Linked DNA regions of Arabidopsis thaliana. The protein of the gene in region 1 interacts with the protein of each later gene in a pairwise test. Each region holds a gene or a part of one and is shown in the gene's direction. Other genes may lie near its edges. The genes, in order: ABCG15 and ZAT.

Region 1 (16,651 bases):
TTCCTAAGATTGTGGTTCAAAGAGAACTGCAATCCGTATGAGGACGAGGTATGCTTACATCTTCACAATGTAATTTCCATTTTTCCTGCTCTATCTGAGAACCCCTGCTAAAATTCGTGGTGTCTCGAACGTCGGTTTTTGTCAGGTCCTGCCTGCTGCTCCAGCAGAACTCGTGACTGAATTAGCTTGGCGGTAATGTATTTTGATCTGTAAACTTTATAATAGGATTGTTCTAGTTCATGTTTTCGATATGGAAAGAAACATTGTGTGTACATGCTTTAAGGCTCTGTGAGATCAGAGATTCGCTGGTCTACGTTAGTTTTCGCTATAGTCTTGGTATTGAAAACTGATGCAAGAAACCGTGATGGCAGGTACATTTTCTTGTATGAAACTATCACTGGATCAAGAATTGACATTATTCCGACTCAGGTATGATCCTGATCAAGCCCAAAATATCTACTTTATCACCCTCAGTTTATCGGAGTTTCAAGTGTATTGAACTCTAGCTTTGTTGACAGGAACCAATACATGACCGAATCTCAAGGAACACAAGCCAAGCACTTTCATCTCTCCGTCAACTTTGATCTTTAATGTAACCTTTAGCCAAGGATGCAGAGAGCATAAGTCTGTTTCTTTTTGCATTCATATGTGTTCTATTGTTGTCTTCATGGATTATGAATCAAAGACAACTTAAGTTCTAATTGAGCAACAAACGAATAAACATGAAAAAAACTAATTGACACAGGCTTGGTGAATTAGAATATATAGTTGATCAGATGAGAAAGGATCAGTTTTGCTTTTGATCTCCCATGTCTATAAACAAGATAGTCTCACTGAAGACGAGCCAAAAAAAAAAGACATTCATCTATATTGACAACTGAAGTAGCCTTGTCCCAAACCAGGGCTTGTGACCCGGTAAAAAGGTAAAACAATCATCGATGAACAGACGAAAAACTTAAAACTTGAAGGTTTCAGTCACTGTATTGTTCTGCCTATCAATGCTTTTGTCGAGGTTAGTACTTAGCTGTAATTTCTATTGCATATTGGCATTCCACAACTGCCTTTTTCGAGATATGTAAAATCCTAACTGGTCTCCCTACCCTTCTTTCTGTTCCATGTTATATAACCGGCTTTAGCTTCTACATATAGACAAAATTCTTCTACTTCCTGCTTTTATCAGTCTCTACTTTTCTGCAACCAAAGAAACTAAAACCATGGTCAACACTTAATAACCCAATAACCTTTAAGAGGGTCTTCAAGTTTCAGTCTGGCTTAAAGTGCCTACCTTTTCACGCTTTCTCTCTGCTTCTATCGAACCTGGAAAGTTCCAGGAAGAGGTATTAACAAGTGTTAACGATTGTTATGTGATGATGTGATTGAATTAAGGGGAAGTTTCCACCTACCAATTGCTAGGCTGATTGAAGTGACGAGGCTGCCTTATTTTCTGTAGTAACAGAGATAGTAGCACAATTCTCTTTCTCAAACTCGGGGTGTTGGGTTTCACCTGTCTTTGATGGGGAAGCAAAGAAGCTATCAGGCAGAGTATTCTCCAGACTTGTCTCTTGCCTTGAGCAATAATAAAAGAAGCACAGATAAGAGTGGATGTGTAACCATATAAAAAATACTTAAAGCCCTGAAAATGATCAGAAACTAATTCTTATCATATTAGCCATACCCTTTGTTAAGATGGCTATTGTAACCACGTTCTTGGCTGATGTTATGACCAGTATCACTCAGAAAAGCTCGGGTTGCTTCAGACTGATGTCCTGAATCACCATTACCTGCTAAGAGGTAACACGGAAGAGGGCAAAAGTAAATAAAAGCTATATAAAGTCAAAGTTCGATGTAGGCAAGATAGACTTGATCACCATTACCTTCGAAGACTTCATCACTGGTGCTTTCTGATCGAAAGAGCATGCTTTGATTGACACGAGGGGAAAAATGGACGGGGGATCCAATGGAAAGACTACGCTGGTGATGGAGAAACGATTCACTGTCCATGTCGGGCAACTGCAGACTCAAAAATCTTCTCCTTTGGAATTCTATTGCTTGTTGCAGGTCAGCTTGCTCAGCTTTTCTCCTCATCATCTCCTGTGTGTTAGAAAACATCCTTGGTGCTGGTAGCAAACAAAACAAGACTGGTCTCAGAACCCATAACAAAAAAATCGAAAGAAGAGGTTGAGCTCTGATGAAACCATATCCACAAGGGGAATCAAGCATAGGAAATAAATTCAACTAACCGAGATGAGAATCAAAGAGATCCCTGGAATCCATTCCAGATGGACTTGAACCAGGAGAAAAGTTTCCTCTCTCCATCTGCTGCAGCAGTTGTTGCTGCTGCCTCCTGCTATGGTTCAATAAGGATTATTATAAGAAAAAGGGAACACAAAAAGAGAAGAAGAATATGGGAAGGAGAGACAAGGCATGAGCAGTGGTTTCAACATACTTTTCAAGGATTCTTCCCTTCTCCTTGTACGGTTTAACAAGCACACGTGAGTCACAGATGAAATGAGGATTTCCTCTGGCCAATATGATTCTCACAGTTTCAGAGTGGAGAAAAGTGACAAACCCAAACATCCGTTTCTGCTGGTATGGAATCCTAACATCTTGCACTGGTCCAAAATTGCTACAAGAAAACAACAAACATAATCAGTCTACAATAACAGAGCCAGGCAAACATTAGTAGACATCCACCAAACTTTTAATGATGCAAACAAACACATAACAGCTTTGATACAATTGTAAAAGATTACCCAAAATAATTGGAGACATCTTCATCTGTGAAGGAGCTGTCAGCTGGAAATGTCAAGTAAATCTGTTTAGATGCAGAGTTAGATTTATCTCCCATCCCCATAAACTCATCCCTTTCATGCCGGCCTGGACTACCAAACCAGTAACCCTCTTCCCCAAATTGTCCTGCTCCTGATCTGCAAAAACAAAACACCACCGGAAACAGAAAACTATGAATTCACATATCATAGACACGAAGATATCTTCAATCATACTTCAAACATAAGATTGACTAAAGAGCCGTAAGCAATAAAAAAAAACAAAAAACAATCATTGGTATGTAAATGAATACCAAAAGTAGTAAAACCATACGAAAACGACTTCGAGAAGCAATAATTGACATCTCAGACCAAAACAAATCTCAAAGATACAAACTTTTCCATGATTCACTGCAACCAACACATTTCTTTTGTAAAATCTGAAAACTTTACCAACCAAAAACACATTCTAAGGCAAAAAAAAGGAGCTTCATTTCATAATTACCTATGCGCATTACGCTGATGCAAGAGAAAATTGAGGCCTTTCTCATACGACATTGGAGAACCAGTAGCCGCCAAGTACTGAGCAGCAGCCATTCGCTGTCTCTGAGCCATCTTCATCCTCACAATCTCCTCTTGCTGTCTAGAAACATAATCCGGCGAGCCAAAACCACCAGGAGAATCAAAATCATCACCTAAACCACCGTGAAGGAACCTGTTGTAACCCCCGCCACCAAATCCGGGCTCCTCTGACCCAAAACAAGCATCACTGGCTGAGAAACTCCTCTTATGCAAATGGGCATCGCCGTTATCAGCCGAGAACCCAAACGGATCCAGAGATTCGTCGTTATTCTTCGAAGAAGATTCGTTAAGAAACGACAAGTAGTTCCCTAGTTGCTGCTCATCGAGGAAATCGCCGTTTCCAGTGGAATCACCAGCAGCAGCACCGTCAGAAGCAAAAAGAGACGAACTTGCTTGAAACGGACTCGAAATCATGTTAGGGTTACTTCCGAGTGAACCAGGAGTAGCAAAAGAAGGAGACAAAGGGTTCCTCGAAAACCCATTTCCCGGTGAAGAGTGAGAGAGAGAATGACGGTGGATGTTAATGGGTCTGGAGATAGGGTTCAATGGCGAAGAAGCAGAAGAAGATCCATTAGAAGAAAGACCTAAAGCAGATTTAGCTTTGAGACAAACGGACTGCAAGAGAGTCTCTGGTCCAAGAGCCAAACGCATCAAATCTGTCTTACCCAAGTCCTGTAAAAGCAAGTAACCAATGATTTTGGAAGCGAAATCTGGTTCTAAAGTTCTGATCTTTGTGAAAAGTATCGAAGTAGGATCTCCTGGATCCATGGTCACAGTAAATTTCTTTTCTTTTTTTGCTTTGGTTTCTCTATCAGAGAGATTGAGAAGAAGAAGAAGAGGCTCTTTTGTTTTGTGAGAGAGTAGTGGGTACTAACTTGGGTTTTTTTGTAGCGTTAAATGTGATGTTTTTTTTTAGGAGATTTGAGACTATGATTTTGTCTTCTAATGAACCATTTTATTAAAGCAAAAAAAAAACTACTTTCGTAATGTGGTCTTTTTTTTCGGGTTCTGTTGTTGTGATATTGGGTTTAGGGTTTTTTTTTTGAAGTTTGTCCAAGACTAGGAGCGGGATTATAGTTAAAAATCGAATTTTTTTTGCTAAAAAGATAAATTAGTCTTTAAGATTTTGTTTAACAATAGTATATTTTTCTTCTCCCTTGACCAACCTAGGGTGTTTATATACACATCCCATTGGATGCAACATTTTTGGTTTAGAAAACTTTAACTCTTAATTTCTTAGTCAACTAGTTGGATTTGATTCTATGGGAAGTATGTTATTATTCATTCATATACCTTAATTATTTTTACTAAAAATTATGTGTTATTGACTTTTTTTTATATATATATAAATCTTTCTTAATTTAATTAAATATACACGTTACAAAATTACTGATATATAAAGTTTAATTAAAATTCAATCTATGTGTTATTTGAACAATTTAGTTTAATAAGAAGATATCTTCTACAAATAACTTAGATTTAATTAATTTTGTAATTTAAAATATTAATTAGCTAGCGATCTAAAAGTATTAAAACAAAAATAAATTCTGAAACACAACTTTCCAAGAATATTTGATATTTATGCGCTTGCGAGTTATTCGGATTTGGTTTTATATGTGTAACCTATGTATAGATGCCGAATGCGCATTAGTTTTCGGAGTAGTCAAAAGTTGATTCTACGTTGATTTCACGTGTCTCCCTTTTATTGTCGAAATATGACAACGAGAAAATTACCCTAGCAATCGTACTTTTGTCGTCTATAACATAATTTAAAATTACTAATTTAGGGATTACAAGTTATTTATTATGAATCGATTAAAATTGATTAAATTTTGTGTTATGAGATCACTACTTTATAAAGTTCAATCAAACTTCTACTTTTGTTTTAAAAAATTAGTTTAATAAAAAGATATGTCATTCAAAGGTCTTAGATTTAATGTATTTCATAGCTATAATCCAATCCATGCATGGTATACAAAAGAAATACTCCTCAATTTTGTTTATTCCCATGTGTCCAAGTCCAAGATGCATATTTGGTTGAGAAGGTGTGAAAAAAGTACATGAAAGAGATTGCCAAAGATATTATTATTGATCACGACCACTATATAAAACTAAGCAAAAATCTTGTGTTTTGAATTTTAAAGAACATAGAATTGACTGTGATATATTCGGTGTAACAACCATGTAACTAGAAGAAATTACTATAAATTAGTATTCTTGTTTGGAAAACAAAACCAAACAAATTTTAACCTCTTTAACTTTTTTCCGTTTTTACCGCAAAAAAAACTGAAACCGTGCCTCGATACGAGCGCTTACTTTGCCCTGACTCACTAAAACCCGCGCGTGACATAAATTTTTCATCAGTTGGCAAATTCCACTACGACGAGTGCACCGAATCTTGAATACTCTCGTCTGATCTCAACCGTCAAAAACTGTAGCAGCAGTTATGTCAACTGCGAAGATTGCTTTACGGGGACACGTGAGGTTCTCAATGGTCATAGTCAATTTGACCAGAGTTCGTATTATTTTTTGGCAGAACCATGCATCAGACAATAATGAAACAAAAAGTAAATGCTCTTCATGGAAAACGAGAATTATCAATTTGCCAAAAAATAAACAAATTTTCGTTATTTTTTATGTGGTTTTTTAATTTGACTAAATAAGATTTTAAAAACTGTATTAAAACTTTTCCGGAAATGGATAAAACAATGATGACTATCAAGGACTAGTATCTAACATTTTAAAATTAAAAATGGGGCAATAAGTTTTAGTATCCTAGGTGTATGAGTAGGTGTCACATCATGAATGCCAGAAAAAAAGAAGAAAACAAATCATGTTGCACACTTTTGTTCTTTTGGGCAAGTCTGGTCACTCTAATCTGTAAGCTGTTTTCCAATCCGTGTAATCTAAAACGAATTGTTTCTTCCGAGATTAAAGATAGAAATCTGCATGTCAATAAAAGAAGCCCATTTAGGCCCAAGTAAAGCATATATCACATTTCCGAAGAAGAGAACCCGGAGAATAAGTAAAAATGCCCACCGGCGGCCCAACTATGTAATTTACTTCCACGTTTATTTGCTTGCCATGTGTTTGGTGATTCTTTACGTTGTTGGTTGCATTTTAACCTAGAAGAAGTGATTGTCATAAAACTTTTCCTGCAATGGTTTTTAAGATTTTTCAGATCTCACACATTTGGAAGGAAAGTGACTAAATGATCACTAACTCATCGCTAAAATATCTCATATCGAAAAAGAAAAGAAATATTAAATGGCTTTATAACTAGAGTTCAAAGAACAGCTTCTGCCCACAAGCGGGTTTTTGAATATGATGAGTTCTAGCCATTGGACTTTTGATGTGTTGGTACGACCAAATCTATACATAATCTTTGCTTTAGAAACGTTAAGACTTTCAATCATTCTAAGCTAAGAATAGATATCAGCATTTAAAACCAAGTAATTGGTACATTGAATCAAATTATATTTTCTTACAACAACATAAAAATGTTATATGTATAGAGCATTATTACATCATATATAGCTTAATAGGTGTTGACAAATACATCATTCCAATCAATGATAGGTTTCATTTTTGTAAGTTAGGTGGCTTTCGTGGTCTATGAGACTGTGACCATATATATACGTTATATCGTTATTCAATCTCTGTTTTTTTTTCTTCTATGTATATTATTTACCCTCTCGGTTTAAATTTATTCCATACTACTTATAATATCACATTTTATTGTAACGTCATTTATGTTGTATGGGTTCTTATTACTTCTTAATTCTTATCTTTGTTGGAAGGTTTTCACTTCATTCATTCTTTTATCAACGTTACGTTATCACTTCATATTTTAAAATTCCCTGTCATATATCATATGATAAATAAAGTTATGCCATAACAAAGTTAGAGCATAATAAATGGAGAAGCATACTATTATAAAGCAAGAATGAATGTGTAACCGTAGATAAGCATATGGGCTTCAACTACGATCTCGCATTTAATTTAAGACCCGTGACTCTCTGTTTGATTTTTTTTCGTTTGTCATCTGAAATTTTCCTTAACAATCTTGAAAAATACGTTTTTGAAATAAAAAGCCGGTGAAAACAAAGACATCACCGGGTCTAAAACCCTAAACCAAAAAAACATCAAAACAGCAAAAACACCTACTACAAACAAGCCAAAGCAGCTTACCCGAAACAAATTCTATAAGGCACAAGCAATGATTCCAAAGCAGCTCATGTCTGTTGCAGAATCCAAGCTGCTCATTTTCTTAATTAAATGAAAAATGAAACATTTCTTTACTTTTTTTGTATAAAGCTGCATCATTTTCGCGTTTAAAAACATGTCAGATTTCGTAGACTTGCTTCAATTTTAGTGGCTAATCAACTCACTTAACTGATTTTTATTTTTATTTTGAAAAAGAGGTTTAACTCAGTTAACTGATTTAATATTTGAGGATGCAGACTGCAGAGGTTCTCTTATTTTGCTATGAGAGTTTAGAGTTTTTGTCCGACGATTACAAAATTTAATGTCACAATTAGTTGCAAAACTAATTTCAAAATGTAATCTCAATCTACACGACTATATGAATAGGATCTACATATACGACTATTACATACCCATCATAAGCCAATAAAAGCGCATTGTACGTATATTAATACGCGTGCCATCGATCTATCTCCATCTCTATACGCATTTACTATTGAGAAAAATACTAATATTATATCGTAGATAACTAGCATTGACATTTTACTCCTCAAAATTGTAGATATACATGCGCACTTGTAAATGTTGCCGTATTAAAGACAGTCCATTAATGAATTTAGTTGTTTGGTGATTGCAAAAGCTTATAAATCCTTTTTTATTGTTTTGTTTCTTCTGTTCCTTCTTACTATTCACTCTCCGACCAACGAAAAAGAAACAAACAAAACATTAAAATCTCTCTTTCTCTCTATAGCATTGTTATAGCTAGTTAGAGAGACAAAACTAAAAACAAATGGAACTGGAGGGCTCGAGTAGTGGCCGGAGGCAGCTGCCGTCAAAGTTGGAGATGAGCCGTGGAGCGTATTTGGCGTGGGAAGACTTGACGGTGGTAATACCCAATTTCAGTGATGGTCCAACCAGAAGGTTGCTCCAAAGGCTAAACGGTTATGCAGAACCGGGTCGGATCATGGCTATAATGGGTCCTTCCGGATCCGGAAAGTCCACTCTTCTTGACTCTCTTGCAGGTTCGTTCTTGCAGTTATATGATTTAACTGCTGCAGCCTGCATGCATAACACATATCTTGGTTTGATAATATTATTTGTAACTATGTTTTAGATCATCTTTAACCTGCTAGTTAAAGTTATAACTTATAAAGCCCTTTGTTTTGTTTTTTTCTAGTTGTTACGATCATCCTTATGATATATATACTGGAAAGTTTGATTATTGAATAGTATCTATAATTCTATATGTATTGTTACTTCGGGTGCATTGCATGCAAGGAATGGCAGAAAAGTACTGCAGAAAATTTCCTCATAAATGCAAAATTGATTTCTGGAGCTGCCTTTTCTGATATTTGTCTTCATTTCCACATCCCAATACAAACAGAAAGCAATTTTATACTACTGTTTTTTTTTTCACATCATAGATAAAATTTGTAATCGATTAATAAAATAAAGTTTCCCGAATTATCCACAGGTAGACTCGCAAGAAACGTGGTCATGACCGGTAATCTTCTACTGAACGGCAAGAAAGCTAGATTAGACTACGGTCTCGTAGTAAGTTTCCTCGTTAATATTTCTACCCACAATTTCACAACATGCAGCTAATTTGTTAGTTCAATATATAATAGTAACGTCCTTGTGGCTTGTCACTTGTGGTGGCGAAACATTATCAATTTTCATTTATGGCAACAAATTTTAGACAGCTCCGTCCTAAGTACATAGTGGTGCAAAGGTCAAAGATCTATACATTATTTTCTTATAAATGTGTGATAATATTGGCACATTAAAAATATATTTATAGCCCATGTATGTATAACAATAAAACATTACATTCAAAATAACAAAAACCTAAAGTTTTTATGACTAGGTATTTACATTGATTGCTCTTGAAGTGTATGCATTTTGTGACTATATATATAGGCATATGTGACACAAGAGGACGTATTGTTGGGGACACTAACAGTGAGGGAGACAATAACATACTCAGCTCACTTGAGACTTCCAAGTGATATGTCTAAAGAGGAAGTGAGTGACATCGTGGAAGGCACAATCATGGAGCTTGGTCTTCAAGACTGTTCAGACAGAGTCATTGGAAACTGGCACGCCAGAGGAGTTAGTGGCGGTGAGAGGAAACGTGTCAGCATTGCTTTGGAGATCCTCACTCGTCCTCAAATCCTTTTTCTCGACGAACCCACTAGTGGTTTGGACAGTGCTTCTGCGTTTTTCGTTATTCAGGCGCTTAGGAACATTGCACGCGATGGCAGAACCGTAATCTCCTCGGTTCATCAGCCCAGCAGCGAGGTTTTTGCGCTGTTCGATGATCTTTTCTTGCTTTCGAGTGGTGAGTCTGTCTACTTTGGTGAAGCCAAGTCTGCTGTTGAGGTAAAGCCCTACACTCTTTGTTTTCTTGCAGTACAAAAAACACACAATTTCTTTTGTTTATTTTCTTGCCTTGATAGTGAAGAAAACTCTGTTTTGCTTTTGTTTGTTTGAATGAAGTTCTTTGCAGAATCGGGTTTCCCGTGCCCGAAGAAGAGGAATCCTTCCGATCATTTTCTGCGATGTATAAACTCGGACTTTGATACAGTCACAGCTACACTCAAAGGATCTCAGAGAATTCAGGTGTGGTAGTAACCATTATCAATATCAAGAACATTGCACAAATTAAAGTCTTTTGGATACATAGTCAAGTTTTTATTGCAATTTTTCTAAGGTTAATACTTACTCTACTACAGGAAACACCAGCTACATCAGATCCTCTAATGAATCTAGCAACATCTGTGATCAAAGCAAGGCTTGTTGAGAATTACAAGCGTTCAAAGTATGCGAAATCCGCAAAATCTAGGATTCGAGAACTATCTAACATCGTAAGTTTAAACTTCTTGTTCAAGTTAACTCACAGGCTTGCTTGGATTCCATAACTGGCTTTTTTCGCAGGAAGGGCTCGAGATGGAAATAAGAAAAGGAAGTGAAGCAACCTGGTGGAAACAACTTAGGACATTAACAGCAAGATCATTCATAAACATGTGTCGTGATGTCGGTTACTATTGGACACGAATAATAAGCTACATTGTTGTTTCTATAAGCGTAGGAACCATCTTCTACGACGTTGGCTATAGCTACACATCAATCTTAGCCCGTGTTTCTTGCGGCGGATTCATCACTGGTTTCATGACTTTCATGTCCATTGGAGGCTTCCCTTCTTTCCTCGAAGAAATGAAGGTAAATAATAAAACCCTACTTATAATCTCACAAATCTTGAATTGCTCTATCGATGAAAATGCGGGTTTGCTTTGTTTCAGGTGTTCTATAAGGAGAGGCTAAGTGGATACTACGGCGTTTCGGTTTATATCCTCTCGAATTACATCTCTTCTTTCCCTTTCTTGGTTGCGATTTCGGTTATCACAGGAACTATTACTTACAACTTGGTGAAGTTTCGTCCCGGGTTCTCGCATTACGCTTTCTTCTGTCTCAACATCTTCTTCTCAGTTTCCGTGATAGAGAGTCTCATGATGGTTGTGGCTTCTGTTGTTCCAAACTTCTTGATGGGTCTTATCACTGGAGCTGGCCTCATTGTAAGAACAGAGCAACCTCTGTTTTCATTTCTACTAATAATGCTTTGAACGATCTTGAATCTGATTTCTGTTTTTGTGTTTGGAAAAGGGAATCATCATGATGACTTCTGGATTCTTCCGTCTTCTTCCTGATCTTCCCAAAATCTTTTGGCGTTACCCGGTTTCTTACATAAGCTACGGTTCTTGGGCTATCCAGGTAAGTCAAGAAACTAACTTTATGAGCTTATTACGATTCAAGAACATAAAAATAATACATTTGGGAGTGTTGCAGGGAGGGTACAAGAATGACTTTCTAGGGCTAGAGTTCGAGCCATTGTTCCCGGGTGAGCCGAAAATGACAGGAGAGGAAGTGATAGAGAAGGTCTTTGGAGTGAAGGTGACATATTCAAAATGGTGGGACTTAGCTGCGGTAGTAGCAATCCTTGTGTGTTACAGGCTTCTCTTCTTCGTGGTTCTAAAGCTGAGGGAGAGAGCAGGACCTGCTTTGAAGGCGATTCAGGCGAAAAGAACGATGAGGAATCTTGATAGGAGACCTTCTTTTAAGAGAATGCCTTCTCTGTCTCTTTCACTGTCGTCAATGTCTTCAAGGAGACACCAACCTCTCCGCTCACTTTCTTCTCAAGAAGGCCTTAACTCTCCTATCCACTACTAAAAGACTTAATATAATGTATGCATGTGTTCTGAAGCTTTCATCAAGATCTCATCTTAATCAGCTTTGTCATTGTTGAAGAAAAAGAACAAACTGATAACAAAGTTTCGTTTGATAAACCCTACCCAAATGTTCCACTATTGAAACTTTACTTCAAGGTTTATGTAACACAAGTAAGACAGTGTTGCGCACAGTGAGAGTATGGCCAAATAAAAACGAAAACCTTGTTACACCAACATGTTTGGTCCAAATAAGTATGGCGCAGAGATACCCGGATCCCATAGTCAACTTTAAATGACCAAAAGTAGTTTATTTAGGTGTAAAGGGTCAAAGAAAAAGAAAGAACATTTTCTTGAGATCCCATGAGGAAAAAAATACATTTTGGGCTCGGTCAGTCAGTAACTCAGTATATACTAAATTGGAGATATTGATACCAAAATTTTATCATGAGTAAAACTAAAATTTACAAGTACAATATTATCGTGATCATTCAAGATTTCCGACATGAAATAAGGAAACTCAAATTTAACTAAATTTTAGATGGACTAAAGAAAGACTAGGTAATTTAAATGGGGAAATGAAAAACTTATATAAGTTGATAATAGTTAAGAAAACAACATACGAAGAAATTTCGATTATTAATTTGCCATCTTTGTGTGAAATTAAGCAAAAATTGACACGTTGTCCTTTAGTCAACGAAAATGAAGCTCTCTGGAAGACCCACATGCATATATTTAGTTATCAAAATTCTCCTTATAAATTTAGTTGGAGTGTTCTAATAAAATGCATAATTTTTTTAGCCAAAATAAAAAAAATGCATAATGTTTTTAGAGCAATTATTAGGACTGTAAAACTATCCATTTAACAAAAGGAAAGTAAAACACAAACAAATATGAAACATGTCCATATACTCATAAGATAGTATCTAAAAGTTAAGTTTTTTTTTATATAAGATCTTTGTTCGTCCAATACATTGGAGGACTTGATATGGATCGACACAGAGAGAACAGGACCGTTTAACCAAAGACAAAATTGGCAAAATAGTCTTCAAAAGGTATGTTTTGGTTGACTCTGACTCTCTTCCCATTAATTTCCCAAATACATTTTCTTGTGCCCGAATTAAAGTCGATAGTTATTAAATTAGTCTCTACGTAAAAGACAATAGTAGTAGAGTCAGTTTCTACGAAAGAGGAATTCACAATCACATCCAATCAAAAAGTACTAGTGTTAATCATAAATTCGATACTGATCACCATTTAAACATTCTAACATGATTGCAAGAAGACTTTAGTCGTTCGAAAGAAAAAAAAAAGCATACTAAAAGCATAACTATAAACCTCAATAAAGTAAAGTAAATACGTAGGCAAAAGAAAATACAAAAATAAAGGCAACTTGGTTGAATTATTGCCATGAAAGAGGACGAAGACGTGCTAGTCAAGTGTCAAGGCCTCTTGTTCATTAAGGGCCAAGGGTTTCGACCCCAATTTTCTTAGATAAACTATGCCTATGGAGAATTGCTGAAGTCCTCAAAAGCTGCTACGCGTTGTTGGGGACCCAACTTATATCTGTAAATGCCCAAGTAATTAACGGTGTAATTACACGACTATCTTTGGCTTTGAGTATATATATCTTTGTTTTAATGAACTTTAATCTCTCTCTCGATATATCATCTTCGGTCATAGAACTCAATGGCGACACACGACTTCGATTTCACTGTAAATTAACCTCCTCCCTTTCTCTTTCTGATTCTGTTTTAGTCACTCTATTTGTTCACCTTAGCGTTCATGAATTGGCTTATGCGTTCATCTTCAGTTAAAGATTTAGAGTAGATTCCTCTTCTTCTTCTTTTTTACTTCCTCTTGAGCTAGTGGTACTGGTAGTTATGTGTTCTGAATAGACCAATTATTTGTTCTGAATCAGAACATTTTAACTTATTGTATTTCTTGGCAGGATCCCTATGGAAATAAAGATAGAAAAAGTTTGTACTCAAACCAAGATAACTATTTCAATAATTGGTCTTCACTTACTCAATCAGAGGAAGTTGTTGAGGAGCTTTCTATTCAACAGACTAAATACGACCATCGGAGTCTGCCTTCTTTGAGAAGTAAGCTTGGATATTTGAAACAAAAGGTGTTTTCTTTGCCGTTTTGGGACTTACTCTTTGAGATTCTTGCGTATTTGTAGCTGCCGAAGCCGAGGCTGCTGAGTGGAATGAGTTGGAGAGATGGGGGAACCAAGAGTTGCAGCATAATGGCACTCGCATTAGAGGAATTATAACTTACAAATCAGGGAACTTGCCCGGTGTTTTGTCATTCTCTGTAATAGAGATTCTCATGATGGTTGTGGCTTCGTTTGTTCCAAACTTCTTGACTGGTCTTTTCACTGGAGCTGGCCTTATTGTACGAGCAGAGCGACCTCTGTTTTCTTTTTAACTAACTTCAAAGAAAGCTACTAAAGATCTTGAATAAACTGATGTCTGTTTTTATGTTTTGGAAAGGGAATCATCATGACGTCTTCTGGATTCTCCCGTCTTCTTCCTGATCTTCCCAAAATCTTTTGCCGTTTCTCGATTTCCTACACGATTTCTTACATGATTTTTGGATCTTGGGCCATCAAGGTAAGTCAATAGCTTGACTTTATGAGCTTATCACTCGCAAGAACTATTCAAGAACATAAAATAATGTTTTCTAGCTATCAAAAAAAGATTGAATCTTAGAGGTTGTTAAACATAAGAACATTGGTGTTATTATTAATACAGCTAGGGCACAACAACAATTTTCTCGGGCCTCTATCACCGGACGAGCCGAAAATGACAGGAGAAGAAATGAATATGAATGAATTTGGAGTAAAGGTGACGCATTCAGGATGGTGGGGCTTCCCTGAGATTGTGATAGCAATCCTTGTGTGTACCTGGCTTCTTTTCTTCGTGGCCCAAAAGCTGAAGGAGAGAGCACGACCAGCTTCAAGGGTGATTCAGGCGAAAGTTTATTTTAATGTGCAGCTTTCATAATATCAGCATTATCATCTATGAGATCTGGTTATCTATTTAAGATCAGCATTGTCATTGTTGGAATAAGTTTTCTTTACCAAACTCTAAACCCAAATGTTCCACTATTGAAACTTTTTTTTGTTTTTCCTCCTGTTTTTTAGCAACAAAATGTAGGGATATCTGTTTTTTTCTTGTGATGACTGTGAATAAAGAAGAAAAGAGATTTGTACTCAATCTTACTTTGATTGATACACCAACTCAATATTACAATTGATTCTAGAGACTCATACTTATAGAAGCAAAAGAACATTCTGGATCTTTGTAGCAACATTGGATCTGTTTACAAGTGTCGACCATCTAGCCACTGTCTTCTGAGATGATAGGACTGAAACGGTTTGAGAGTACAACCGGCGAAGAAGTAGCTGCTCTGTTTCTTTCCTTTTGTGTGTATGTCTTCTTTTGTTGCAGAGGTTGCAGAGGGGAGCTCTGTAACTTTGTCCCGTTGTGAGATTGGGGAAGAGTTTGGGCTTCCTGTTGTTGGGCCTGAGGCTTTACACTTACAATGACGTCAAAATTATTTAGCAACAAAAAATTACATAATGGGAGAGATTAACAGTGTATTAGTGCATATGATTCTAAAAGAAGGAAAACTTAAATAAAAAATCGAAATTGAAGATAAAGAATTGAAAATTACTTTGGGGGGAAAAACAAAGAATTGAAAATAGCTTGAGGCCGATAGAGATTAAGTACTGATTTGGAACCAGAGTCCAGAGCTCCATGCAACACGAGGAAGCTTTCGACAATTCTGGACGACAAAATCTGGACGACAAAGCTCCGGTAGGATCAGGTTGTGGCATATCTTTCACTGCAGACGAGATGATATTGAAACGTGTTGGAATTGAGAATCGTAGTTTAAATCCTACAAGAAGAAAAGCATCATGAGAAGAAGAAGAAGAGAAGAATAGAGAAGAAGCTTCAAGCGTAAGAAGGAGCAAAAGGAAGAAGAAGATGTCGTGACAAGAAGGTCAACGACACATGAAGAGGAAGGAACAGTCAACTAAAGAGAGTGGGCTTGCTTTGTTATGTTGTGTTTTGTGATAATGGGCCAAACGGATTATTAGGGCCCAAGTAGGTAATTATGTTGTGTCCTAGACTAAGGTTGATGTTAAGTGTCTAAAAGGAGCAAAACATGGAGTTACAGTCTCAAGTGTAGTAGAGTGGCTGATGTGATTTCTAGGTCTAGGGGTGTGGTCTAATGCATTAGTAATTAAGTGCAAGTGTGTCTTGTATGTGGTATAAATACCTGTGTGTTGTAAGAGCTAAAAGAAAATCCAATTAATATTATCAATGTAGAAGATTAAAGTAATTAAATGTGTTCTTGTTTTCTCTCTAGAACAAGTGAACACAAACGATAAAAAGAGTGTGAATTATAGAGAAAAACTGAGATTTACAACAAAACGTCATGCTTATGTGACACAACTACACAATAAACAAAATTGTTAGTATTTCTGCAGCTGTTAGCTAATCAGCTTTGTCATTGTGGGATAAAAAAAAAAAAAAAATAGGAACCAAGTTTTCGTACCCTACCCAAATGCCAAATGTCCCACTATTAAAACTTCATGTCAAACAAAAATATATATATATAAAAAAAAAAAAAAAACTTCACGTCAGTCTTTGCGTTACGAAGAAAGGCAGTATTGCTAACAGTGAGCACAATTTTATGATAACCATTCACCATGCAATATTTTATTTCCATAACAAGATTAGAAAACTAACAAGGCACCAACAGGTCCGGCCCAAATGAGTAGGGCCGGAGGCCATTATAAATTTTAATTTTTTTCTAAACTTCTCAAACCAAATCTAATAATTTAGGTATTAGTGA
Region 2 (16,651 bases), on another chromosome or scaffold:
ATTCCATGCTTTTAATCATTATTTTTTTAGTTTGATTAATGACATTGCACCCAACTTTTTTTGTGTCTTAAGTCCATGTGTTTATTGGTTGCGCTATGAAAATCCAAAGTTTCTAAGTACTATATAAAACGGGAAAACTGTAGAAATTTACAGGTCATGATTCTTTCCAGTAGCCAGTACCATGCGTTTTCTAATATATTTTGTTTGATAAAAGTTGTTTCTATTTTAAACGTAACTTTTGATTATTAAATACGGAGATAAATAGATAAACTAGTACTCAGAAAGATATATTACTTGAAGAATACATTTTTTTTAGAAATTATGTATGTGTGATTTTTTTAATTAACGTTTGGTAAAAAATAAAGTATAAGAACTAAATAAAAGAAATTTGCGTTGTCTAAAATATTCTCACTCCTCTATTATTTGTGATAAATAAATTTATAATATAGTTGAATTTATAATTAAAAAGAAAAAGTAGGTTTGATTTCAGAATCTTCATTCTATTTTGGTAGAGTTTATGGATTTTTGTACATTCATATGTTTGATTGACAATATTTAGTACTCGTTTTTTTCATTGTGAAATTGTACGAATGTAACATTATCATCATGTCAACCCGAATCAATAGAGTTCAAAAGTAAAATTTAGCAAAATTTTAATGTTTTATGTACTCCATATATCTATTTTTTTTTCTTCCCAGTCTTGTGAAACCTTCATTGATTCTTAACAAAATTGATAACTTTATTTTTTTCTCAGTTGTGTTATAGTTTAACTCTTTATCCATATATAACAACAACACGTGATTTGATTAGCAATTTTAAATCAATGATTAAATAATAGTATATGACTTCGTTGAAATGTTTTAAGTTTCACAATAACCAAGAATAATTTCCAAGGTATATTATGCATTTTTATTCGTACTCTTCCATTTTTGGTCTTTCTATATAGTCTATATTCCATCAAGATGCATATACAGTATCTAATATAGGATTAAGTCTGGATGCTTGGCAAAAACAAAAATAAGGGTTTAAATCTGGATGCTGATCCAACTCTACAAACAAATAGTTCTTTACAAAAATTTTTGTTGGTAGAATTATTTAAATTTCTAATATATGCGTATCTTTAAGTAAGTTCTGAGGGCATTACTTATATATTGTTGGTGTTTTTTCCATGAGCACGTGAAGTATTGTAGGTTTCATTGATGCCTATGTCAATTATTAGTTTACAAAATGATGTCACAAAACTGTCACATGCATATATTAATATACATATCTGTACGTTCTCAACGCCGTGATATTTTTATTTATTCACTTGATTACACATTATTCTTTTCTACTATATTAAATCATATGCTAATTAACCTTAATATGTTAGGGATATATCTCATAGTGTAAATTGGTTATTATTTATTTTATTTTAAGAGTATTTGTTTTTCATGGTAAACGATACATTTGGTGATGGATAATAAGTAATGAAGGAAACTGATAGAAATTTTGTTTCTAAATAATAAAAACTTAAATTTGGAAACTCTCTAGAAGATGAAGAAAGTTTGCATGGGAAGCAATCTTAGTTTGGTGAATTTTCGTCAAAATATGTTAAGCCTTAATGGGTGAGACGTCATGACTCCACACTCCGTTTTCTTTAATGGCGAAGGGCAAGTCTGTAGTTCCATAGACTTTGGACCCTTTCACGATATCCACGTGTATTTTGTAATATTTCTCTTCTTTTAATGGTTTTGTAATTTGTTTAACATTTTTTAAGGAGTCTTTTTGCTAACGTCGATTTATATAACGTAGTACTAATACTTTCAAAAAAATTAAAACACATTTTTTAAAACAAAAAAAATTTCCTTAATAAAACTAAACTCGAAGTCTGGAACTAACACATTCAGACTCATAGTAGTTTGTCTCTAGACTCTAGTCGGACGTCGCCAAAGTTTGACTTCTTACATTATGCAAACCATATATGTGTTCAAATATTGATATTTGAAAGGATAGAGTATGATGTATATGACGCATTTCGTTTTATTTACATGATCACCCAATCGATGGTTACATAATTAAGATTTGTCCCTTCGTAATGATTGTGTCCCTATAAGCTGGCAATATATATATAGCAATCTTTTGTATAACTAGGTGTCCTAAACTAGAGCATAGCGGTCTGCTAATTTCGGCTAAGGCCTGAATCGTTAATGATGGAATCAGAATGTACATCTCATGGAAGTCGATATCGTTCAACTTATAGAGATAGGCACATGTTAGGTATCTGAATGCTTTAGTATCAAAATTAGAAGCTCTCTTCCATTGACTAATTTCGTAAAACATATATACGAAGCTATCAGAATCAATGTTTCATTGTACGGATTACTATGTTATGTATTAACAGTCAGTTACTATATTTAAGCAGATCATAAGAAATGAATAAATTTTCCAAATATATATATTTAATCAGCTAAACTGGTTAAAAAGAAACTGATTCAATACATAATAGATTTGAAGTCAGTTCAAATTACGTTAACGGAAGAGTGTGCTTTATGTTGCTGGTCTACTATATGTATACATTCCAAAGAAATGAAATTTCGCACAGTTCAAAACTTTATGAATCAAGCCATAAAATGTGACACTCCGTAAACTCCATTATATTACATATGAGATAGTGTGAATTCTGTATACATAGATTTACTGGGCTTTAGAAATGGATTTTAAGCCCACAAATAGTCTTGCTTCATTTCAAGAGGTGGCCAGTAGTAAAAAATAATAATATTAATTTTCCTTTTTGATAAAAATGATTTACTCTTTTCAATTAAAGTCCCATCTGCCAACGAAGATTCCACCACGTGGCAAAGGAAACGTTGACGGTCAAAATAACGGGAATCCGTATCATTCGCTGTCACGTTCATACGCCACGACCAATCAACAGCGTTTATAACGGATTTTCAGACTTTAAGGAAACAAAATCGCTGGACACGTCACGCGTCAATTTTTGTACTGTAATAAAAACATCACTCAGATCAATGATCCCATGCACGCGGGACCACGTACGCGTGATAAAGTCTTGTGATACACACCGTTGGATGATAAAGTGCAATCCATCTAACGGTGATTTTGTTCAAGTTGAGAATAAAATAAATATTTTAGTTAGAATACTTTTTAATACTATATAATAATATTGGGAAAGTGGCTGAGCATAAACATGTGCATGCCTGCCTGTATCTTGCAGCCTTCATGTGGATTTATCAGTGCGACACTATCCATCATCAAATAACTCATATCTACACTTTCTTTCTTATATATGTGAAATTTATACATTACATTTTGTAAAATAAATATTTATATTCCAAAAACAACGTAGTAGACGTGCCTCAAAATCAAAGAGATGTGGAACGGCTTTAGAAGCAAAATCCAAAATTGGAAAATAATGATAATTATTGCCACAAAATATTGATTACGAAGGTGATATATATATTAATCACTGATTGATGTTGTTAAGGAAAAGAATAAAGTTTTGGGCTACCAAATTTTCGAATGTTGAAATTGACTTTTACATCGTGATCTGACAAACGCATGTGTTGATTCAATTGTTCATAAATCACAATACTTCAAAATTTCAATACGTATATTTTTTCATTTCACTAATCACTAATACATTGGTACGTTTCTATAGATTTTGCCACTAGCAAGTTTTAGCAAAATCTGTTATCAGAATGCTTTAAGTTGAGAAAACTGCTAATGCTATTAAAAGAAACGGCTAATGATTGGTAGACGCATCGATCGATCATTCGTTGAGAGTTTTCAACAAGGTCTAAATAAACTATTTAAATAAAATATCATAGACTATAAAATGGAAACGAAAAAAAAGAGCATATATTTCCACAATTACCGTTAGTACTTAATAGTAGTAGTAGTAAACAGTGACACATGATACATTTTGACGGCTCTGATCGAATAAAAAAGAAAGTTGTACTAACAGACTTTATTAAAAGACAAGCTACAATGATTTTTTTTTTTTGTAAGGATAATATTTTTTTTTTATAAGAAAACTGAGAATAGGCAATTTCTGCAAATGTTTTGAGGAAGACAACCTGTCTTCTGTGTTAAAAACCAGGTCTGCCCTACATTTATAATTATTTCATTGTTTTTTTATAATAAAGGGTTTACAGTTAAAATTCAAAAATACAAAACATCCAAAAAATTCGAAAAAAGGAAAGATAGAATTTAGAAGATTGTGCCACAAAGTCAAGACCCACAAAAACATTTTTGTTTTGGGTTATGTACTGCACAAAAAAAAGTGTAAATAATTTAAAATAAACCCAAAATAAAATAAAATAGAGAAAAATTCAGCAGATTATTCTCTTCGATATGTATTAAAAAATTCTCACAGTTATTTTTATTAATGCTTGGAGACGAATGGTCAAAGTTTGGTTTTATTTTTTTGATAATAATGAAAGTTTAATTATCAAGAATTTTGCAGAAATCAAGAGAGAAGGTTGAAGACAGCGAAGCAAATGTTTATGTACACAAGAGACGCATAAATATATAAAATACAGCGAAAAAGGTAAAATTGGGTCTCTGGCTTTTCCTCATATTTTCAATTGCTTCTCTCTTCTCTCTTCTATAGCCCCATTGTCGTGGGTTCCCACTAGCAGCTTTCTTGTCTTCCTCCATTTTCTTTTCCTTCATTCTACTAAAACAGAGGTTTTTGCCTCTTCCTCTCTTGTTTCACTCTTTAGGGTACACACAAATTCACTCTTTTTTCTTCTTTGTTTGGGAGGGGAAAAGTTACAGTTTTTTCCTCTGTTTTGGATCAAAATTTCGTTTTTTTGGTTGTGTTAAGAAAGCAACAGAGAGAGAGAGAAAGATTGAAACTTTGGATGTGAATTTAGGGTTTTGTGAATTGGGGAAAAAGCAATCCAGAGATGGCTCAACAGAGACAATTTCAGATGGAAGGTGGTAATAATAATACAACAGATACCAAGTTGACGAAAATCTTTGTTGGAGGATTAGCTTGGGAGACTCAGAGAGATACAATGAGACGTTACTTTGAACAGTTTGGTGAAATCGTTGAAGCTGTTGTCATTACTGATAAGAACACTGGAAGATCTAAAGGATATGGATTTGTATGTTCCTTCTTCTCTCTCTCTTTTTCGTTTCTTTGATGATAAAGTTTCTCTTTTTCTCTGAAAAAATCAGTTTTTTTATTTGATTAGGTCACGTTTAAGGAAGCTGAAGCAGCGATGAGAGCTTGTCAGAACATGAATCCTGTGATTGATGGAAGAAGAGCTAATTGCAATCTTGCTTGTCTTGGTGCTCAAAAACCTCGTCCTCCTACTTCTCCTCGACATGGTTTGAATCTCTCTCTCTCTCTCCTCTCTTAATTCCAATGGGAACTAGCTTTAGGGTGATTGGAAAAATCTGATCTTTTTACTTGATCAACACGTGAAGAAGTCAAGAGTGTTGTTTTACGATTCTTGGTGGAAACTTGATTTCCAGGAACAGGTAGATTCAGATCACCAGGATCAGGAGTTGGATTAGTTGCTCCTTCTCCTCAGTTTCGAGGCTCTTCTTCTTCCTCTGCTTTTGTTCATCAACAACAACAACAACACACTGCTCAATTCCCATTTCCTTACTCTACTTACGGGTAAGAATACATAATCATCACATTAAATAACAATCCATTCTGATTAGTGTGCGTGTGTGTGTGTAAGCAAAACTTAAAATGCTTGTGTTTTCTTCTTCTGCAGGTTTTCTGGTTATTCTCAAGAGGGAATGTACCCAATGGTAAGTTCATTTTATAAATTTGTAGAGTCGTTTCCATTTCACTGATAAATCTTTGAAGTTCTTATGTTTGTGTTTTTTGTTTGTTTGCAGAACTACTACAATCATCATCTCTATGGAGGACAACAGTTTTCACCATATATGGGACATCCATCAGCAGGATCAACAGGAATGTTCCATGGTTTTTATCCCTACTATCCTCAATACAATGCAGCACAAAGTAGCAATCAAGCTCAAGCTCAAGTTCAAGCTCAACATCACCAAGGTTTCAGCTTTCAATACACTGCTCCTCCTGCTCCTCCTCTGCTGCAATATCCTTACTTGCCTCACCAGCCACACTTCAGTTCTCAGCAGCAATTTAGCTCTCAGCAACCTCCTCCTCCAATCCTCTCCCTCCCAACCTCTCTGGCTCTATCTTTACCTTCATCATCATCACCGTCCTCTTCAACTTCCACCTCAGGTTTGATTTCACAACACAATCTACATTGAAAACCATTTGTCACATTGTTTTGAATCATGCTTGATTCTTTGTTTTGTTTTGTATTAGCTGCAACAACAGCAACAAAAACAGTAGTTATAACTACAGCAACAAAGAAAGCAGAAACTGAAGCTAGCAGCAAAGATGGTAATGAAGCAATGACAACATCAACCATCAAGATAGAGGGTTGATTCAGAACTACTACAATAGCCAGAAGAAGGGACAAACTTCATTGTACACTAACTCATCATCAAATCTCTCCAACAACGTTCTAGAAACATTCATTCATCCATCGTTTTTAGGATTCTAGAATCTTAATTAGTACTTAGGAGGAGGAAGAAGAAGAAGAAACCATCATCACATTCTTTCTTTTTTTTTGTTGTTGTTTCAAATTGCATTTTAGGTAAAAGAATCAAGAGAAAGCATTGGTGGCTTTCTTTTAGATTCTTAAGAAAACTTGGATTGGTGCAGAAAGCATCATCAGATTATTACATTCATTTGGGGAATTTTATTTTTCAGGTTCAAAAGAAATGTTTTATGTCTTCTTTTGAACCTAAACAGGATTTTTAAGCTTCGGATAAGCTTAAAATCATTTCTTTTACATTTGTAATTCTTGAAATTGTTATAATTCAATCACATTGCTTCTTCTTACTATATTTGTTCGTTTATTATGATTATAAAATGTTTGATCAACCAAGAATCCGTTCATCGATCACTTTCACCTGGAGTTTTCTCGTGTTTTATAATCATAAAAAGATTGAACCTTTTTGATAATTATTTTGAATTCGTATGATCATTTTCTGAGAGTAAAATGATTATTGTCTTTGGATTCCAAAGGGGATCTTATGAAGACAAAAGTACCGGTCAAAAGACCGTTGGAATCAAACGGATCTTTTTCTTCGTCAATGGATAATATTTCACTTCTACTATTCTTTTAACAATTTTATAATAAAAACCAAACAAACAAAACATAGAGAATACATAAGTTATGGGCTTTTGAAAATCTAAGGCTTAAATTCTTATAAAGCCCATTAATTTTTATATGTGTAAGTAAGTTGGCCATAGAAAGCTTAAAGCCTTAGATATGTAAACACGCAAGAATATGGTAAGTTGTTTATTACGCACTGTCCACATCATAGATCGATAGATATTCTTTCCACGCAAAGCAAAGTTTTATTAAGATGGTTCTAGAATTCCTTCTTATCCACAGAAAATTTTTATATTCAAGAAAATCCAATTTTTCATTTGGAGTCGAAATTTACGCGGCCACTAACGAAATTTGATTTAATTAAAACTAGTGGGCATTTAATATTTGAAAATAATACTATTTGTTAAATCCCAATTGAAAATTTAATAACATTTAATATAATTAACTTTTTTGAAAAAAGGAACAAAAAAAGCCATCCAATTTGAATGATACATAGAGCAGCTGAAAAAAAAAAATCTACCTTTTAGAATTTATTAAATCCAACCAAAAATCAAACTTAGCCACACAATTACAATAGAAACCCACGTGTCATCCACATGACCACTAGATATTCAGACGAATATCTCCACTTCCGTAGAGCGATTAGGTTAATGACACGTGTTAAGGTGGACCTGCGAAGCAGAGGACCACCTCCACCGAATCAGCCGCGATACAGAGAAAATCAAAACAATGGCTCATATTAAGCCACGTCAGCTCAGTGAAGGCCCGCTTTGTTACACACCGTTAATTAGATTTCTCAAATTGTTTATTTGCTCTGAGCTTATACAACAAAGTCTTCTTCTTTCTCTGAGAAGATATTTTCGTGGTTGTGATCGAAAGATACCAAACTAAAGAGTTTAACTTTCTTCTTCCTTCTTCTTTACTTCAACATCTGATATTTTCTCTCTCTCTTTTATTCAGTCTGAAACAATATTTCTCGGTAGATTAAGATCTAAAGCTCGTTGATCTAGATTCTTGTTTCTATTTTTGTGTGTTTTAGGCTTTGTTGGTTTTACCAAGTGTTGTGATTCAGTTTGTTTTGAGGTCTGAGTCTATGGGGGAGATTGTGGTTTTAAGTAGTGATGATGGTATGGAGACTATAAAGAACAGAGTAAAGTCATCGGAAGTTGTTCAGTGGGAGAAGTATTTGCCTAAAACTGTACTTAGGGTTTTGTTAGTTGAATCTGATTACTCAACTCGTCAAATCATCACTGCCCTTCTTCGTAAATGCTGTTACAAAGGTCGATTGGTCTTTCCTTTCATTAGCTTATGTTAAAGTTTTCATTTTTATGTTTTGATGTTTGAAATTAAACTCGGTTCATGCTTTTTGATTGAATACAGTTGTAGCTGTTTCTGATGGTTTAGCTGCGTGGGAGGTTCTAAAGGAGAAGTCACATAACATTGATCTTATACTAACAGAGCTGGATTTGCCATCTATATCTGGTTTTGCTCTGCTTGCTTTGGTAATGGAGCATGAAGCTTGCAAGAACATTCCTGTCATAAGTACGATGGTGATCCCCTAAGTCCTTTATACCTCTAAAAACGCCTCTTTGTTAGTTTTTTGGTTCTTATGCTTTTGTTGTTTGTTTGAAATGAATAGTGATGTCTTCTCAAGATTCGATAAAAATGGTGTTGAAGTGTATGCTGAGAGGTGCTGCTGATTATCTAATCAAACCAATGAGGAAAAACGAGTTGAAAAATCTATGGCAACATGTTTGGAGAAGACTGACTGTAAATTTTTTATTTCCTTTTTTGAGGTTTCCTTGTGTTGAAGTTTGAAACTTGAAAGACTTATTGTCTTTTTTGGTTATGGATCAGTTGCGTGATGATCCTACTGCTCATGCTCAAAGCTTACCAGCTTCACAGCACAACCTTGAAGATACTGATGAAACTTGTGAAGATTCCAGATATCATTCAGATCAAGGAAGTGGTGCTCAGGTATAATAAATATTACCATCTGAGTTTTACATAATATATGTTCTGGTCCTTCTGAATTGTGTTTTGTATGAGTTGTGAGATTTTCATCTTGAGATTGCATTGTATATCTCATGTTTATCTCATTTTAGTAGAAGCTAATATCGTGTACATGCTTATGCAGGCTATCAATTACAATGGTCACAATAAGCTGATGGAGAATGGCAAATCAGTGGATGAAAGAGACGAGTTTAAGGAAACTTTTGATGTGACAATGGATTTGATTGGTGGAATTGACAAGCGTCCTGATAGTATTTATAAAGACAAGAGTCGAGATGAGTGTGTTGGTCCTGAGCTTGGACTTTCTCTGAAAAGATCTTGCTCTGTAAGTTTTGAGAACCAAGATGAAAGCAAGCATCAAAAGCTTAGCCTCTCTGATGCGTCGGCCTTCTCAAGGTATGCATGTTTCCTTGCTTGAATAAAGAATGCCTCAAATCTTGTAATTAGTGTTTTTAATCAATAACTCTACTTAACTTGCAGATTTGAGGAAAGCAAGTCAGCAGAAAAAGCCGTCGTTGCTTTAGAGGAGAGTACTTCAGGTGAGCCAAAGACACCAACCGAATCACATGAAAAGTTAAGAAAAGTAACATCTGATCAAGGAAGCGCCACAACGAGCAGCAACCAGGAGAATATCGGATCATCAAGCGTAAGCTTCCGTAACCAAGTTCTTCAGTCCACAGTAACGAATCAGAAGCAAGATTCACCCATACCGGTAGAATCAAATCGCGAGAAAGCAGCTAGCAAGGAAGTAGAAGCTGGTTCTCAAAGCACCAATGAGGGGATTGCTGGACAAAGCAGTAGCACAGAGAAACCAAAGGAAGAAGAAAGTGCGAAACAACGTTGGAGTAGAAGCCAGAGAGAAGCTGCATTGATGAAGTTCCGGTTGAAGAGGAAAGATCGATGCTTTGACAAAAAGGTAAGAGACACACAAGCTTCATCATAAAAACAGCATCTGAAACAAATACAAGATCAAACTGATTCAATGGAGATGTATAAAAATGGATTACAGGTTCGGTACCAGAGCAGGAAGAAGCTAGCAGAACAACGTCCTCGAGTGAAAGGCCAGTTCGTGCGAACCGTGAATTCAGACGCGTCTACAAAATCATGAAGAGCTCTTTCAGTTTTTCCTCTGATTTCTTTTGTTGATTTTATAACAGAAACTTATTTAGCTTTTGCAATCTTTAGTGTGCTTTTTTTTTTTATGTATTTGATTGGCTTCTTCTTCTCAGCTAATATGAGATACTGGGGCAACTTTTGTATATATGTCTGCAAATGATCAGGCTAAGCTAAAACAGTAATTCCAATTTCGTTAAGTTGAGAAATATTTCTTGTTGTGATCATATCCAGGCCGCTTCTCTCTCGATACATACCAACAAGAAACAGATTCTATAAAACTTGATTTATATACCATTGCTATAGTCTATGTATTAAAACTCATCACATTAATTCTCTCACAGTCAGAGAAACAAAAAAAGGAAACAAAAGCTATCGAAAGAAAAATCAACAAAGAAATCTTTTTTTGTGACCGTTAAACTAAGATTTTGTGACCGTTAATTGTGATTATCAGTTTCCTTTTCTTTGCTTATAAATAAATAATTAGTGAGAGTCTCAACGCTTCTTCTAAAACATTCGACAAATCAAAACTCTCTATCTCTCGCTTCTTCTTATTCTTCAACCCTAGTTCTCTTCTCAAGACAATTTTGTCTTCAAAGAGGAGACTACAAAGAGGAGGATATAGCCAAGAGAGGGGAGAGCTTTATGGTGGTGGATGATGTCACGAGAGGGCTACCAAAGACCGACGGGCTCAAATCTGACTTTGGAATGGGCTTTGCTCTATGGGCCCTTTTTGCTACTAAATCCAACAAGGTATTACTTTTTTCATTCTTTTTTTTTTTGTTTTATTTACCTTCAAAATTATTTTTAAGTAAAACTAATTAGTTTCACCATAACATTTATATAACTAAAATGTTTATATATTTTCATTAGTTTAAGTGTAAAATGTTTTTACACCTATATTTTATTATAACTTTAGATTTTTTTTATATAGATAAGTGTTAAATTTTTAAATTTTGTGTAAACTAATTGGATACATCATCCAAACCCCTAGGAGGTGTGCCAGGTTCAATATATGGTTTACACATTATTTAACTTTTTAACACTTGTTTTGCTTTTATTAAAAATGTTTTTAAACTTACATATTTTCATATTACTATTAAATCTTTAAGGTATTTTTATTTGGATAAGTGTTAAATTTTTAAATTTTGTGTAATCTAATTGGATACATCATCCAAACCCCTAAGAGGTGTTCTAGGTTTAATATATAGTTTACACATTATTCAACTTTTTAACACTTGTTTTGCTTTCGTTAAAAATATTTTTAAACTTATATATTTTCATATTACTATTAAATCTTTAGGTTTTTTTTTATTTGGATAAGTGTTAAATTTTTAATTTTTGTGTAAACTAATTGGATACATCATCCAAACCCCTAAAAACTGTTCTAGATTCAATATATGGTTTACACATTATTTAACTTTTTAACACTTGTTTTGCTTTTATTAAAAATGCTTTTAAACTTATATTTTTATACTACTATTAGATCTTTAAGGTTTTAAGGTTTCATTTATAGGTTTAATATATGGTTTACATATTATTTAAGTTTTTAACACTTGTTTTTCATTTATTAAAAAATGTTTTTAGACTTATATTTTTACATTACTATTAAACCTTTAATGTTTTTTTGGGATAATTTTTTTTTTTTAATTTTGTGTAATCTAATTGAATACAAGATTCAAACATGTAGGTGGTGTTTTAGGTTTAATATGGTTTACAAATTATTTAGGTATTGAACACTTGTTTAAAAAAATAAAATTAAATCTTAGTTTAAGTGGTAAATTTTAAACACGTTGAAAACTAATTGCGCCTAAGCATCTCGTACTTAGTTGGTCCGTAAGTTTTGGTGTTCGAAGTTTGGAAAGTTTTCACGTAATTTAACACTTAAACTTTAAAAAATCAGTTCATTTAAAACTTTTTGAAAATTAGTTTAAATGGTAAATTTTAATCACGTTGAAACTAACCGCACATAGATATCTCATATTTAGTTGATCCGTAAGCTTTGGTGTTTGTAATACTTATAATTAGTTTTTGAAAAATGTTGATTGTTTTTACTAAATTTAAGAAATTAATTCACTAAAACTTTTTAAGAACTAGTTTAAGTGATAAAGTTTAAATATGTCAAAACTAACCGTACATAAACATCATATCCTTAGTTAATCTATAAAGTTTGGTATTCGAAGTTTTCACATAACTAAATTTTAAATTATGTTTTGGAATTTTTCTTCTTAGTCAATTCAATAAACCCTCAAAAGTGAAAACCCAATCATTTTGCTAAACCGCTTCTGCGAACCAATATATGAAACCGATTAAAAAAGCCACTAGATTGATTGGTTTAAATTAAAAATTTCACCGGTTTGACAAGATACCCAATCATTATACACAGGTAAAAAAAAAGCAAAAAAAAAAAAGACAGCAAAAATTACGGACCATAAAAAACGGCCACGTGTTCATCATGTTCACCGTCAACGAAAGAGATTCCGATTAAGAGAGATGTCGAAGGAGATAAGAGAGAAAGGGGACCCAAAAAAAGGGTTAGGTGGATCTCTCATGAAATCGGTGGAGCTCCCCCATATCTTTTTTAAATAGCTTTCTTCTTTTGGCCCCTTACCCAGAGATAGATTCTTATATACTACTGAGAATCTTCAATTTCTGCAACTTTTGTATCTCTTCCTGGTGAGCCCTTCTCTTCCTCTCGCCACTTTTTTAGGGTTCGGGTTTTCTTTAAAATCTGACCTTTTTGCTTGCCTCTGTTTTTATTATTCGTGTTAGGGTTTGTTGTTTTTTCACTTTCTGACTCTGCCATCTGGAATTTATCTGATTGGGACACTTTGATTCTGTTTATACAAACAGTAGTTTTATTTACTGAGGGGTCAAACTTGAATCTGTATTTTAGGGTTTTGACTCTTTGTGTTATTATATGGTGTGAAAGCGTTGACACTGTTTGTTTGCTTGACGAGTTCCTCCTTTTTGTAGCAGTAGTGGGAATGTGGTGGGATACATGTCTTTGTCCTTTGATTTGATATTTCTGGATAAATTTGCTTTCTTTTTTGTTGAAACAGATCACCAAATAAGAAAACTCTTGTGGTTCTATTGAATTGGGTTTCCACTATCTTTATTGTAGAGGTAACTTTATTTTGTGTTTGTTGGTATTGAGTTCTGTACATCCATCAGGATTTTCGTTGTTGTCTGAGCTTTCTTCTATTTTTTTTCTTATGCAGATGGAGTCTTCAAGTCCCCACCATAGTCACATTGTTGAGGTTAATGTTGGAAAATCTGATGAAGAGAGAATAATTGTGGCGAGTAAAGTCTGTGGAGAAGCACCATGTGGGTTTTCAGATTCTAAGAATGCTTCCGGGGATGCTCACGAACGCTCTGCTTCTATGCGGAAGCTTTGTATCGCCGTCGTGCTGTGTCTAGTGTTCATGAGTGTTGAAGTTGTTGGTGGGATTAAAGCCAATAGTTTAGCTATATTAACCGATGCAGCTCATTTGCTCTCTGACGTTGCTGCCTTTGCTATCTCCCTCTTCTCATTGTGGGCTGCTGGCTGGGAAGCGACTCCTAGGCAGACTTACGGGTTCTTCAGGATTGAGATTTTGGGTGCTCTTGTATCTATCCAGCTCATTTGGTTGCTCACGGGTATTCTGGTTTATGAAGCGATTATCAGAATTGTTACAGAGACCAGTGAGGTTAATGGATTCCTCATGTTTCTGGTTGCTGCCTTTGGTCTAGTGGTGAACATCATAATGGCTGTTCTGCTAGGGCATGATCATGGTCACAGTCATGGACATGGGCATGGCCACGGCCATGACCATCACAATCATAGCCATGGGGTGACTGTTACCACTCATCACCATCATCACGATCATGAACATGGCCATAGTCATGGTCATGGAGAGGACAAGCATCATGCTCATGGGGATGTTACTGAGCAATTGTTGGACAAATCGAAGACTCAAGTCGCAGCAAAAGAGAAAAGAAAGAGAAACATCAATCTCCAAGGAGCTTATCTGCATGTCCTTGGGGATTCCATCCAGAGTGTTGGTGTTATGATTGGAGGAGCTATCATTTGGTACAATCCGGAATGGAAGATAGTGGATCTGATCTGCACACTTGCCTTTTCGGTTATTGTCCTAGGAACAACCATCAACATGATTCGCAACATTCTAGAAGTATTGATGGAGAGTACACCCAGAGAGATTGACGCCACAAAGCTCGAAAAGGGTTTGCTCGAAATGGAAGAAGTGGTGGCTGTTCATGAGCTCCACATATGGGCTATCACAGTGGGAAAAGTGCTATTGGCTTGCCATGTCAATATCAGACCAGAAGCAGATGCAGATATGGTGCTCAACAAGGTAATTGATTACATCCGCAGGGAGTACAACATTAGTCATGTCACGATACAAATCGAGCGCTAAAAGCTAAGTAAGATCTGATGAAGGGTTTTTGTATCAGCATTCTCATTAACAATAAAATCAATAAAGTTTCTACATTTTTCACTTTCTCGTGTTCCTCTGCTTTGGTTTATATTGGTATAGTTATATACTTATATGTCGTCATCGTTTGGTTGAGCACAAGTAAGCACTATTCCTCTTCAAGGAAGAAACTTTTTGTCCTTGTTTCAAAAAGGGTGAAAGGACACAACTGCTTAGAACAGATACGTCATTCTTAGGTCTGCCTTCATTTAAGATTCATTATCTTCCTAGGAGTCACAGGGACTTGTGATTGTGTTAGAAACAGAATCTGACTGATTGTTAGGGGTTTAATTGATATGTCACAAGTGGACCATGTTTGTCCTGAGAGTAAGTAACCAGAGCTTTAAGTTACATCAGCAAGTACAATGTAAAGATGAAATCTTCGTAAGTCATTCTTAAAAAAACTATGTAAAAGTTGACTCTTTTTTTTACTTGGTAGGCGGTTCTGGTTCTCTTATTACACAGTAGTATGAACGAGATCTCTAGATTGCAGACAACTTAATTCGTGTTTTCTGGCAAGTTTTTGTGTTGGATCTTGTTTTGGCTGTGTTAGACTTACCACGTGAGATAAACAGAGGCCACAATTGAGAGAACATGGATAAGGTTTCTTCTTGTGAGCTTATTAAGATCGAATCTGTGTTCTTGTTTGTCAACAAAGAGGTTAAAATTTCGGATTTGATCGATAACAAAATGTACTTCTTTGGAATCCTGTAAATATTACAAAGAAGTAAAGGTTAAAAAGGGAATTTTACCGTTTATTCGATAGCTCGTAAACACAAAATCTGATGCAAAAACAAAGATATTTACAGGCAAACACTGGTTAGTACCCTTAAAGCCAAGGCATCGACAATTACATGTTTAGCAGATAAGAAGCCTCAATTCACGGGTTAACGAAATAAGAGACTTCAAAAGATTCAATTTTTATCTATTGGGTTGTAACAAAAATCAAGCTTTTCATGAAATGTAAGAACACAAAACCAATGGAAACTCTCTTCTCTTCTACTTCTTCTTCTTCATCATCATCTTCCGTGTGTTAACAGAAGTCCCCACAATTGTCTGTCTTCGCTGCGAGACAAAACTGCCACAGCCAATAATGTTTCTCTGAGGGACCTTGCTTCTGTCAGAGACTCGCTCTCTCTCTCCTCTTCTTGCTCTGCTCAGCTCTCTCACCAACTCATCTTCAGTCCTCAAACAAACATCTGTTCTCATCTTTGTTTTCTTTCCTTTCTTTCTCATATCTCATTTTCAATTTTCCCAATTTCTCTTCAACATCTTCATAGCAATTTAAGACCACTATTCCATTATAAAGCTAACTGCTTTAGAAACTCCTCACATTTATTTCTTCCCCATCATTGTTTTAGAGAGGGAGAAAGAAAAAGAGCTCAGCTTTCTGATGGAGAGGAGTATTCAAGGACAAAACAAGCTCTGTGTAATGTATCTTATCTCAATTTGGAACGTTACTAGTTTTTATCTTTCTTGTAATCTTTTCTTTCAACTATTGATTCAAAGATGTGGACTTGCATTTACTCCTTCCAAAAGAGTCCACAATGGTTGCATTCAATGCTATATGTGTTTGTTATACCAAAAACACCAACAAATCTGCTCTCAACTGTTTCCCTCTCTTTGAAACATTCCATTTTTCATTCTAATTTTGTTTCGCTAGACTGACCCACTAACCAAAACCCACACTAGTCTACCCAAATTTAATATCTCTCTTCTCAATCTCACTTTCTCTTCTTACTCACTTGGTAGGTAACTCCTTCCCCTGTTTTTTCTTTTGTTGCAGTGTTTGGACCAAAAAGTGAATGTGAGAAGAAGCCTACAAGTTCAAGAAACTGTAGAGGATCATCAAAGCTTTGCCCTTGAAGAGGA

The links.
Region 2: the proteins of ABCG15 (region 1) and ZAT interact in a protein complementation assay, tested with the Arabidopsis thaliana proteins (one large-scale study listed by BioGRID).

The regions. Positions count from the first base shown.
Region 1 is NC_003074.8:7,386,629-7,403,279, reverse strand, and holds ABCG15 (ABC-2 type transporter family protein), read left to right. Parts: upstream 1-8,183; 5' UTR 8,184-8,346; coding exon 8,347-8,578; intron 8,579-9,030; coding exon 9,031-9,110; intron 9,111-9,476; coding exon 9,477-9,938; intron 9,939-10,055; coding exon 10,056-10,178; intron 10,179-10,291; coding exon 10,292-10,423; intron 10,424-10,493; coding exon 10,494-10,778; intron 10,779-10,858; coding exon 10,859-11,131; intron 11,132-11,219; coding exon 11,220-11,327; intron 11,328-11,402; coding exon 11,403-11,783; 3' UTR 11,784-11,994; downstream 11,995-16,651. Other genes in the region: PUR7 (purin 7), read left to right, coding at 1-48, 146-192, 372-429, 519-584; AT3G21100 (RNA-binding (RRM/RBD/RNP motifs) family protein), read right to left, coding at 1,410-1,566, 1,676-1,781, 1,875-2,117, 2,241-2,347, 2,447-2,626, 2,754-2,927, 3,274-4,118; AT3G21080 (ABC transporter-like protein), read left to right, coding at 13,469-13,495, 13,731-13,884, 13,965-14,179, 14,278-14,397, 14,539-14,790.
Region 2 is NC_003071.7:19,224,603-19,241,253, forward strand, and holds ZAT (zinc transporter), read left to right. Parts: upstream 1-10,771; 5' UTR 10,772-11,057; intron 11,058-12,568; exon of another isoform or gene 12,569-12,690; 5' UTR 12,691-13,430; intron 13,431-13,525; coding exon 13,526-14,722; 3' UTR 14,723-14,975; downstream 14,976-16,651. Other genes in the region: AT2G46780 (RNA-binding (RRM/RBD/RNP motifs) family protein), read left to right, coding at 4,914-5,114, 5,205-5,340, 5,488-5,635, 5,739-5,775, 5,866-6,232, 6,320-6,441; PRR9 (pseudo-response regulator 9), read left to right, coding at 8,272-8,458, 8,559-8,720, 8,818-8,948, 9,036-9,155, 9,316-9,587, 9,672-10,107, 10,201-10,299; AT2G46810 (basic helix-loop-helix (bHLH) DNA-binding superfamily protein), read left to right, coding at 15,092-15,163, 16,566-16,651. UniProt on the Arabidopsis thaliana protein: Mediates zinc accumulation in roots and confers resistance to zinc. Involved in sequestration of excess zinc in the cytoplasm into vacuoles to maintain zinc homeostasis. Can also transport cadmium with a low efficiency.